Drosophila melanogaster: one gene and its partners. The main gene of each other region encodes a partner of the protein of the gene in region 3 in a complex. Each region holds a gene or a part of one and is shown on either strand. Other genes may lie near its edges. The genes, in order: Nup58, Nup160 and Nup205.

The links.
Region 1: Nup205 (region 3) and Nup58 share a complex: the UniProt entries of both Drosophila melanogaster proteins name them as parts of the nuclear pore complex.
Region 2: Nup205 (region 3) and Nup160 share a complex: the UniProt entries of both Drosophila melanogaster proteins name them as parts of the nuclear pore complex.

Annotation. Positions count from the first base shown.
Region 1 is NT_033777.3:19,643,269-19,647,021, reverse strand, and holds Nup58 (nucleoporin 58kD), read right to left. Parts: upstream 1,997-3,753; 5' UTR 1,858-1,996; coding exon 934-1,857; intron 873-933; coding exon 156-872; 3' UTR 116-155; downstream 1-115. Other genes in the region: CG6195 (uncharacterized protein), read left to right, coding at 1-52; Vha13 (vacuolar H[+] ATPase 13kD subunit), read left to right, coding at 2,735-2,816, 3,184-3,284, 3,344-3,514. UniProt on the Drosophila melanogaster protein: Component of the nuclear pore complex, a complex required for the trafficking across the nuclear membrane. Together with Nup54, required for transposable element silencing regulation in ovarian follicle cells.
Region 2 is NT_033779.5:11,121,624-11,125,376, reverse strand, and holds the start of Nup160 (nucleoporin 160kD), read right to left. Parts: upstream 1,601-3,753; 5' UTR 1,499-1,600; coding exon 1,402-1,498; intron 1,338-1,401; coding exon 1,235-1,337; intron 1,182-1,234; coding exon 690-1,181; intron 633-689; coding exon 451-632; intron 378-450; coding exon 1-377. Other genes in the region: Csl4, read left to right, coding at 1,907-2,065, 2,120-2,575. UniProt on the Drosophila melanogaster protein: Functions as a component of the nuclear pore complex (NPC). Involved in poly(A)+ RNA transport. Required for nuclear import of Mad. May play a role in double strand break DNA repair. Essential for nephrocyte development.
Region 3 is NC_004354.4:19,850,400-19,854,152, forward strand, and holds the start of Nup205 (nucleoporin 205kD), read left to right. Parts: upstream 1-1,814; 5' UTR 1,815-1,948; coding exon 1,949-2,170; intron 2,171-2,249; coding exon 2,250-2,573; intron 2,574-2,660; coding exon 2,661-2,762; intron 2,763-2,852; coding exon 2,853-3,415; intron 3,416-3,479; coding exon 3,480-3,753. Other genes in the region: pico, read right to left, coding at 464-613. UniProt on the Drosophila melanogaster protein: Plays a role in the nuclear pore complex (NPC) assembly and maintenance, but with limited role in NPC permeability. Required for specific nuclear import pathways such as Mad import.

The DNA of each region.
Region 1 (3,753 bases), on a different chromosome or scaffold from region 3:
GATTGCCCATGTGATGGCCGACGAGGACGTCATCCAGGTGGTGAAGAAATAAAGATTGTTGCGTGTGAAATATATATTCTATGCTATAACTGAAAGTGAAAGTCTAGGCCCCTTTCGACATAACGATTTATTGAAACTTGTAAAGAGTGCCATTCTCAATTGCCTGTCGCATTGCTGGCGGAACTGGCCGCCGCTGCATAGGACTTGTTCATCAGAGCCGAGATGTTGGAGAAGGGCGTTGGACCGCTACTAATCCGTTGAGGTTCCACCGTCGGCAGCGGAGGATTGTCAATCCGCTCGAAAACGTTGGTGGTGTCTCGCAGGCGGTAGCGTCTGAGGTTTAGGTAGTGCTCCTTGTGCTCCTCCACCCGCTGATGCACCTCGTGGAGGCGTCCCGCCAGCGAGATGAAACTCTCATTAAGTTGGCGAAAGCCACGCTTTAGATCATCCGGCGAAATACTCTGCGGATTCGAGATCGCGTGCATGTGGCGCTCGGTCAGAGCGATCTGCTGGCGAAAGGCGATCAAATCCTGCTCGTACTTCGCCACCAGGCACTGAAAGTACTGGAACGGAGCATTGTTCTCGAACTGCAGGCCGGCTGGGGTGTCCTGCGTGCGTTGGGCCATCTCCAGAGATTGAATCGCCTTGACGGTCTCTTGGCGCATCAGGCGGATCTGCTGATTGCTGCCCTCAACTAAAGTGGCCATATTCTGCAGCGCCCATTTCAAGTTCGTGATCTCGTGGCTGACATTCGTGAATTTGGAGGTGGATGTCCGTCCAATGTCAGAGGAGATGGTCTTCTGCTGTTTGATATACGCTTTTAGGCCATCCACCGTTTTTATTATCTCGTCGGGCACTTGGGTTTCCTTAATCTGGAGTGGTCGAAAATAAAATGATTATTTTGTTTCTCTGTGAAAGACTCATGGTCAGCACCTTGATGCCATCTTGCTTATTGTCCCCCAGCTTTGGTTGCGTGGCGGTCACATCGATCCCCCCCAGACCCACGAAAGTCGATGCTGCCGGGGCAGCTGCCTGACCCGCTGGCTTGCTAAAGATTCCTCCTCCTCCTAGGGTTGTCGTCGCATTGGTGGTTCCCAGTTTCAGACCCGTGTTGAAGGGTTGTGCCGTCGCCGTCGTCGTGGTTGTGTTAAAGTTCAAGCTGGCCGCCGTGGTGGCCTGTGGCTTGGGGAAGGAAAACGATCCAATTCCGGAGCTGAGGGATGCTGGCATCGCAGCTGCCGCCGTTGTGGCGGTGGTGCCGAATCCAAAGGCCGGCGGCGCGGTGGTCGGCGCACTTGTGGCCGGGGTGGCAAAGGAGAAAGTGGGAGCCACAGTGCCCACGGCTGGTGCAGGTGCTCCGAAGGCCGATGCTTGCGTGGAAGCTGGCGCTCCAAACGCCGTTGTGGCTGCTGGTGCTCCAAAGGCGGATGTAGCGGCGGGTGCTCCAAAAGCGGGCGTGGCGGCGGGTGCTCCGAAAGCGGGAGTGGCAGCTGCAGCTCCAAAAGCGGGCGTAGCAGCTGGAGCTCCAAAAGCCGACGTTGCTGCTGGTATGCCAAAAGCGGGCGTGGCAGCAGCCGTTCCAAAAGCCGGCGCCGCAGTGGAAGTGGCGCCAAAACCAGGCGTGGACGCAGGTGCTCCAAAAGCCGGCGTAGCAGCTGGTGCCCCAAAGGCCGGTGTGGCCGCGGGAGCTGCAAACAAGGAGGTGGTGGCCGGAGCAGCACCGAAGGTTGGCGTAGAGGTGGCTGCTCCAAAGGATGGAGGCGGAGCAGTCGTCGTCGCCGGTCGCGCGCCAAAAGCAAAAGCGCCGGTAGCAGCAGTGGCGCCTCCAATGGCGTTGTTCGTGGTGGGCGTAAACATCTTTAGGCACCCCTCTTAAGGATTTATACAGGAATTTTAAACAATTAAACTATATTTACTGCAACAAATTTCGAAATTAATTTTGTTTAATGCCTGAGCATCTGTGGTTTAACTTCTAGGACAGAGATGACACTATCGGTGATATCGATAGCTAGTCAGCAGAGATTTATTCGGAAAAATATCAACAAAGTATTCAAATTGATTGAAATAAATACACTATGGCTAAAGATATATAAAGTATTTGCAGCTTCATATAGTTACGATTTGTGATTTTCAAATATTTAATTTTGGTCTGAGGTGTGGTGAGTTCGGTCCACTACAACATGGTTGTTATTTAATATCAAACGATAGCCTTCAGATATTAATATGAATAAATTATTTCAAAATTTAATCTTTATGTATTTCAATTTTAAAATAATATAAAGAATTTTTTACGAACTAATTTCTTACAATAGCTTTAAATACAGCCGGAACTATTACAGTGCGAAGCAGATTAAACGCTGCATTTAAATTAAAATGAATTAAAGTTTACAAAATTATAAAAGAAAAATATTCATGATGGGAATAAATGAGAAAGTTAATGCTTACAAAAACGTCAAATTATTTAATACTTCTGGCCAATACAATACCAAACAATAATATACAACTAAGCTAATCGATATGCAATCGACCGAGCCATCTCCAAGAGTTTCGCAGCACCCAGCTTTCCGGCACACTGCTTACCCACACCAACTAGCCACCGTGGTGAGTTTGCGTGTGTGTGACTTCGTCATATGACATTTTTCACAGTTCGTCGTCGATTGTGATTCTGTCGCACTTGCTTTTTTCGACTTGCACAGTATACACCACGGCGAGGAATTAGAGAAGTTTGGAAATTATGGCCAGCCAGACGCAGGGAATCCAGCAGTTGCTCGCTGCCGAGAAAAAGGCAGCCGAGAAGGTCGCCGAGGCTCGTAAACGTAAGTTTCATTTTCAGAAACAAAAATCCAATTGGAAATGGCAGGGCGACAAGTAACTGCGATTTTTTCACCACCCCGCCCCCGTGCTACCATAACCACCATCACCGTTGTGTGTGGGTCACATGATGTGGTGGAAAAAAGTAAATACAAGTCAATCCTCCATAACTCGAGATATAAATCAAATTAAACTAAATTAAATTAAATTAAATTAAATTAAAATTGTTTGTGGCCACTAAGACTGCAACTTAAGTGCAGTAAATAGTTTTTGTGCGAGTTGGCACTTTAAGTTATGGAAGGTCATCTTGCGGAGGGCTGATTTGCCAAGTTGAACTGATATGATCATCTGGATTTCTGGGTAATCCCGCAGGCAAGGCAAGGAGGTTGAAGCAAGCCAAGGACGAGGCTACCGAGGAGATCGAGAAGTTCCGCCAGGAGCGCGAGCGCGCCTTCAAGGAGTTCGAGGCCAAGGTAAGACGCCACATAGGGAAACTTATGTACATGTAATACCGTGTGAACCCCGATTACAGCACATGGGCAGTCGCGAGGGCGTGGCGGCCAAGATCGATGCGGATATCCGCGTTAAGCTGGCCGACATGGACCGGGCCATCCAGACCCGCAAGGACCCGTTCATCCTGGAGATCCTGCAGTACGTGTACAACATCTCGCCCGAGGTGCACAAAAACTACAACCACAAGTAAAGAGGTGGCCCCCCAAACTGTGCGCTGTAAATTCAATGTCCACGTTCAACTCTAATCCATAATTTAGACCCGTAATAATAGTGGTTAATCTAACTGGAAACACTGCTGTATTATTATTCCATACATTAAAGTGAAAATTCGTTGTTGTTCCATGTAGAAAAAAGCGAGCATATTAGTTTGCCTCCCACTCGCGCGGGATTGTATTATCATTGTTTTGTGTTCTGCCCAATACACGTTGT
Region 2 (3,753 bases), on a different chromosome or scaffold from region 3:
TCGACCAGGATGAAATATATAGCTGCAGTAAGTTTCGCGTGGATCCACTCCCTGCTCCATGGTGAGACAATACCGATCCGGTGGCGGTTCTAGAGCAGCCGAAACCCATTTGATTGCGTTGTTGGAGGCAAAATATGCTGCCGAGACATGGAAATCGCCTTCAGCGTTGCTCCAAAGGGCCCAGATGTGCGAGGATGTGGCATCGAAGTCGACCAAATCCGTTTGCGGCGCCGGCACCATGTTCTGCACCAAATTGATAACGCTGGCATCGTCGGCATCGGGCATTATGCTAACGCATATAAACTCAGCTCGGGAATTGTGCGAGAGAAATAGACAGAAGTTTTGATCGCTTATTTTTCGGAGCTGGCTGTTTTGTGCTGTTAAAAAAAAGAATATAATCCCATTATATCTAGATCATAAATCTAAATCGTAATAATATTTTATACTCACGTCCTTGAGCTGCTGAGTCCTGTCCCAGTTCGGTGGAGCAGTTAATGCTGGCTACAGTCTGCAAGTTATCCACTGACCATAGACGCAGCTCATTATTGCGATACAGAACCAGAATGAAAATTTCCCCCCCGATTTCACTGAAAGCCATGGACGTGGCTGCCTCCAACGTTTCAGAGCGGCCGCTACAATGATTAATGAAACATTAGGGATTTGCCATTTATCGAGGTTTATCCACTTACGTGAGGGCACCCTTGAGATTCGACAGAAACCATGGCATTAGCTTCGGCTCCTTGATTTCGTGGGTGATAGTATGGCCGGTGGAGCATTTCATAACGTGAAGCAGTAGTTTGCTCTGATACGCCACCGCAAAGTAGGCTGACTGGGAGTCTTGAGTGAGGTACGATACAGCCGCGTTGGGCATAGTTCCAAAGCCATCCGTGACATAGTAAGTGCTGGGATCATTGATCTTGTCATTGACGTCGTAGAAAATGGACTGGGATAGCAGATCCTCTGGAGAAGCTGCGCCACCTTCCTGCCCAGCGACCTTCAAGGGAAACACATAGCGATGCACACTGCTGACCGTGACCACCAGCAGGGTGACGGATGTACCTTGCTCCGTGAGTGATACATTCAGCACAGCGGAGTCGGTGAATCGCAGACGCAGGTGATTCCTCTGCAGGGAGATGTCCAAACTAACCTCTGATAGTTCCAGGACATCCTGGTATGTCCGCCTGCAAATCAGTGGCCATGTGAAACTAATTTAACGATTCTGATTTGCACTTACCAATATATGAAACGGTTTCTGGTCTGAACATTTTTCGTATTCTTGTAGCAATAGCCGCCGGAGGTTTCGAAGGTTTTTAAATCCTGCAAAGTGCTCTGGGTTCCTACATTTTGCGGAGGAGCATTTGGTTACTCAGAATTTCTCTGGCAATCTTGCACGAAACTCACCCGTGTTAATTTTCACCTCGATCCACTCCGCCGGACTGAGGTTCCGCGGTATGACCTCGCGGTAGCTCATGTTGGCTTGCAGTTTGGATGTGGGCATCTTGCTAGCACAACAAATTAATATAAAAACCTCAACGAAAACGGAAAATTATTGGCGGCACCGGCGTAAACACGCTCAGTAGTAGTGTTGGAAAACGCTTACGCCAGCGGTGCACACCAGGCAAAATAGTCGACATAGCTTTTTATACTCACATACAAAAGTTAATTACAGAAGTTAGTTAAAAATTGTACATTTTCCTAAATGTAATTTCATGACAATAAAGTTTATTATAGCAAAGCAGGAATGATATAAGATGCCTTTAAATCTTGTGATATTAAGAAAGTTGTCGCTAGCATTTTAACAATTGCCACATATTGGTCACACTGCATTGCACGTGTGTTTCCATTTGTTGATGCGGCTTTATTATTTAGTTTATTTTTTAAAATAAAAACTGTCTCTGGCCTAAAAATGAGTGAACAGCAGGATGAGACTGTAGTCTGCCTGCCCGGGGAGCGACTCTGCAGAACCGAGGACAGCATAGTCCTGGGCATAGGCACCTACGAGCAGAATGGCTACATTTACGCCTCCAAGTCTGGAATTGTCAACATCGAAGATTCGGGTGATAAAGTAAGTAATCCTGGCATTTCGTTGACTCTGGGAACCAATTAATCTCCATTTCAGTGCCAGGTGGTTAGTGTGCATAAGCCCGGATTTCATCTAACCATCCCAGCCACCGGAGACGTGGTCACAGCCAGAGTTCTCGTCACAACTCCAAAATTCGCCAAGTGCGCCATTTTCTGCGTACGAAATGTGCTGCTGGAAAGCAGCTACCGCGGACTTCTGCGCAAGGAGGATGTCCGGGAGACCGAAAAAGATCGCGTCGATATCTACAAGTCCTTCCGGCCGGGCGATGTCATCCTGGCGAGGGTCATTAACCAACTGGAGCAGTCCTTCCTCCTGACCACCGCCGAAAATGAACTCGGCGTGGTCATCGCCTATGCCAGTGATTACCGGAAGACCCGGGTGCCCATGGTGCCGGTCGGCTGGAGCGAGATGCAGTGCCCCCAGACCACGATCAAGGAGCCACGGAAAGTGGCTAAAGTTCTGCCTGAGAGTTCAATAAATGCTGTGAAATAAGGTCAATCGCATGTTAATCAGAAGCTTAAATTCATTTGTGGAACTAAAAATGTTTTAGTAAGTGATTATTAGCCAAATAATTATATGTCTTGGCAACCAGAGGACGCTGAATATGGATACAGGTTTATGTTAGCATTTTATTTCCATAGCAACGTTGATAAGTAGCTATTTGACAGTTTACATTATTTCAAATCATTAAATAAATCTATAATTAAGTTGTAAAAGTTCAAAACAAGCTGGTTTCCATAGTTTAGCTTTTATGATTGATACGTATCTTATATTTGTTATTTATTCATGATTGGTTTGTTATAATGATTCAACAAGAGATTAGAATTTAATATTGGATCGTCATGCAATTGCTGTTTTTAAAAGTATCTCTATAGATTCGAAAGTCATGGGAATAGATTAAAGAAATTGTGCGGTAATTTGTTCTAGCAACTTAACAAAACATATTTTATGTTTAAAATAATTCATAAACACAAGGTAATCTAAATATATGCAGGCACATGCACTTTATAGGTTGGCAACATAAAAACTTTTAGGGTAAACGACAGGTACTTATTCCAAGTAATCCGAATTTCAATAACATGCAATTGCACGTGTTCCCAAAAAAAAAAATATATAATCATAAAGGCAAATAGATGGTTGTAAAGGCTCAGGCGTCAGAGGCGTAAAAACCCGTAGCCCGTTGCCAATCAATGTCGCTGGGAGCTGTTGTTGATGGATGACTATTCCTATGCAAATAGCAAATGGAAGTTCGTTTCGCGTGCAGGAGCCGCGACTAATTCAATCAGAGGAGCGGGAGCAGGCAGCCTGGAGCAATGAGCTGCTCCGGGACTAGGCCACCGTGTCTTGTCTTGCCGAAGAAATGCAAATGCATAGGAAAAGTTACAGGTGGATCGGTGGGCAGGGAGCTTAGCGAGTCCTGGGGGATCCAAACAACCAATCATTGTTTGGTCGATGGGAAACGCAGTCGGTTTGTTTCGGTGGTTCGAAGCCCGGTTAATATTCAAATTAAATCGAGGGGGAATACGACCAATATGCGCTGCAAGTGAACAGCCGACGGGTAGTTGGCCCTGTCGTAGTTGTCGTCGTAGAGTCCCCAGTTCCGGCCAGCTCAAAAACATAAGTTCCTTCCTATTGTCAGTCGCAGACCAGCAGCAGAAGAACCACGGCCA
Region 3 (3,753 bases):
TGCGTTTGCTTTTATTAATTCTCCTTTGACCCATCGAATGGGGGGAGTGGTAAAGTTTTAAGTTTCTATATTATCAAACTATAGGAAACTATATCCATGATACTAGTTGGGCAGTCTCAACTTTGGAGTACCGAATTTGAAGTCTTTTGATCACCTAGCACTGCATAACTAGGTTATTTTCATAGCCAAGGAGTAAAGTATACTGAATACACTCGAAAAAAAAAACACTAATAGAGAATTATAGTTAATACAATTACCAACCATATGTGAGTCTACCATTTGCACCGTTCTTACTATAATTTGAAGAAGCTGTACTTTAAAGGTATAGTTCAGTTTCTTCCTGTGTACTCTGTCCTATGACTTCTTTTTTTTTTGTGTGTGGGAGCGAATTATGAAGTACAGAGGAAATGGTCGAGCAACACAAACGCACACACACATTTGGAGAAACTTGGGAGATACTTACATTTGTTATTGTTGCTGCTTCCTCGAGGCTGTGCTGTTGTTGTTGCCGCTGCTGCTGGTGGTGTTGTTGTTGTAGCTGTTGCTGGAGTAAGTGCAGTTGTTGCTGTTGTAGTTGTTGTTGCTGATGTGCCGCAATACCACCACAATCCATAGTAATTACGGGTGCGAGGGGGCGGGGTTAAGTGTGTGTGGGAGTGGAGTGGAGTCGTCAATTGGGAGCGCACTCTCTATCTCTCTCTCTCTCTCTCCAAATCTCGCTCTCTGTATTGCTGCTCCTTCGCGCGATCGCTTACTGCAGCGGAATGAAAAGCGAAACAGACATAATTGAAGAAATGCGATAGCTCTCCGTCTTGAATTTCAACGATTCGCCGTAAGGGAGCGCTGTTAACCGCTATTTCAGTCACTGTTTGTGTCTTGTTCCTTTTTTTTATTTTTTTTTATTTTCAGCTAACTCTGCAGTTTGCCTTTGTCCATATTTTCGGTGGAAAAACCACTTCCTTGCTCTCTCGCTCTGGCTCCCTTGCTCTTCTATACCGCTCTCTCTCTCGCTCGCCAGGCGTTGCGTGGGCGAACGTAGGGGAGAGAGCAAGCGAAACGAAAAGAGAGAGGCGAACGCAGTTTGGAGTTTTATGCACTGGAGTTGTGAGTATGTTCGTGTGTGCCTGTGTGACTGCTACCCCCACACACTTGCACTGCCTCTCTTCCTCTCTGTCGCTCTCGCACACCCAGTACCAAGTACTCTGAACTCCAACTCCAGTTACAAATTCAATTCCAATTCGAATAATTCCCAATGAAATTTGAATTTTCCTTCCAATTGCACTGGCTTTGGCAGTTAGTATCCCTTTTGGCATTTATTGCAGCCGAACTGCGCCGATTGCATTTGCATTTACACTTCTACATCCACTTCCACATCCACTTGCATCGACAGCCAGAACCAGCATCCCACTATGGTGCAGTTCAGCCTGCCCGCGGCCATCGGTGATTCACTCACAATGCGAACAGGACACCACTTGGGCAGTGCGTTCGCTGGCCAAATCAAGTGGCGGAGAACAGAAAAAAAAAAAAACGCGAATCGGAACAAAACAAATGGATGCTACTATCGGGTAACTACGAAAAGTCCGTGCGTAGATTTTCACGAAAACGCCCCGCCCGCGCCGCACTGAAGTTGTGTTAGTTAGTGGTGCGACAACGCACCGATGCAGCGCCTCGATTATCGTTCGATAAGCATCGATTTTCCGATTGACTTGGTTCGAATCAACCGTTTAGCCAGCGCAGCAACCGCAGTTAGCGGGCACAAGCACCGAAGCGCGTACGAGCGTGGTGAGTTCGTACGGTGGTGAACATCTGTGTTTTCCAGTATTTGCAGCACCCAGCCCTGGTAACCGGCGCCTTGTCGCAAAGCGAAGCAATCTTGCCGCGTTTTATAGTCAATAACTGCGAATCAGCAAGAACTGCGTGAACTGAGCGAACCGCAAAACCAAGTGAAATGGATGGTGAGTGCCTGGCCAACGAGCAGATGTGCGTGGGTCGCCAAATCACTAATGCCACCCATGCGTCCACAGCTGTAATCGAGGACATGTGGACGCCGTACAAGCATTTGTACAACACTTTTCAGACCGCGGTGTCCAATCGCAGTGGCTTCACCTCGGATCTGGAGCAGTGCCTCAAGAAGTACAAGCACAACTTCAGCAACTTGCTGCGCAATCCGGTGGGTATAGCAAAACAAGCGCTTGCAGATCCGTAGATTTAACTAATTATTGATAATCCATTATTGAAAATGTCGGCAGCCGAGAAGCGAGAAGAGCCGCAATCTCCTACGAAATGCCCTCAACGAAGGCGTCCCGATGCAGGGGCATTCGCGAAAGACAAAGATGTCACAGGACCTGGCCGACGAGGCGGTCATTCTGTCCGACATGTTCGATCTGGACGAGGGTTTCGCCGTGGAGCTGCTGTGCACCGCACAGCGCCAGCAGAAGCATCATCCCGGCCTGTCCAGAGGCCTTGTCGCGGTGCTGCTCTACTACGATGGACGAAAGGCCATCAGCTGCACGCTTCGCGACATGTTCCAGGTGGTTAGCGGCGTCTCGTGGAACACCGAACTGCCCAAGGAGGTAAGTTTCGAGATTTCGACATCGCAGGCATCGCAGTGCCGCTGAAAGAGAGATTCACTGACCCTGATTATCGTTCTACGCACGCAGATCACCGGTCTGGTCACTAACTATGCCGAGAGCCTTGTCGACGGCTCTGGGATACTGGGACGCCTGCTGCAGCTGCTCGAGGAGATGGATGTCGACAAGGAGGTGGGTTTGTATGCGCCTGTTTCTGAAATTCTCTGAAATTGCATATCTTCCTTCGCAAATTGTTATTCATTTGTTGTCCAACGTTCGCAGTGCGCTATGCTGACCACAAACCGCGCGTTTGGCTCCAAGAAGCATCAGAACCAGGTGCTCGGCCTATACGAGGACATTCAACAGGCATTGGCAATGGCCCTGTTCAATTGGTCGGCACAACGCGGCCTGCCGCGACACATTGCCATTCGGCTGATGCACCAATTGGCCAACCGAAAGAACCACGACGCGGGCGGCAACATGGACGACGTGACCCTGATCATGCTGATGGCTCTGCTGTATGCGTACGATACCTCCATGCTGCTGGTCACCGAGGAACCCAATGAGCACACAACCCGACTTCCGATCTTCAGCGATCGCGAGTTCGCCGAGTGCTTCCTGGAGGAGCTGTACGCGCAGAGCAGCTGGCAAGCACCGCGCCTGAATGCCATCATTGCCTACAGCTTCGGACTAACGCTGGCCAGCCTGCGGCATGCACCTTTGCAGCTTCAGGCCACCGCCATCTCGATCATCAATCGCGATGAGATGCTCATCGACGAGGCACTGGGAGCGCAGGTATTCGTCTTCTTCCACAGCTTGCTGCTCGAGAAGGATCTGGTCTATAGGTGAGTACTGACAACTGAAGTGTCAATTGCCGATTCGCAAGCTAATCATCATTTGTGCTGACAGCACGCAGTTCTTCTACCGCCGCGTCCATCTGCTCATCACGGACTTCATCGACTTCATGAACTCCAAGGTGTCGGAGCTGCGCGGCCGAGCAGACGAGTCGTCACACACGATCATCAGCTTCCTAAACGAGGGTCTGGAACCGCCGCCCAACTTGGACTCCAACTTTGAGCTGCTCATGCTGTGCGTGGCCAAGATGCACGGCGATCCGCGCGTCACCATCAGGCTGTGCAACGAGTACTGGGGCCCCGGCGATCCCAACGGCTCTACGGCATTC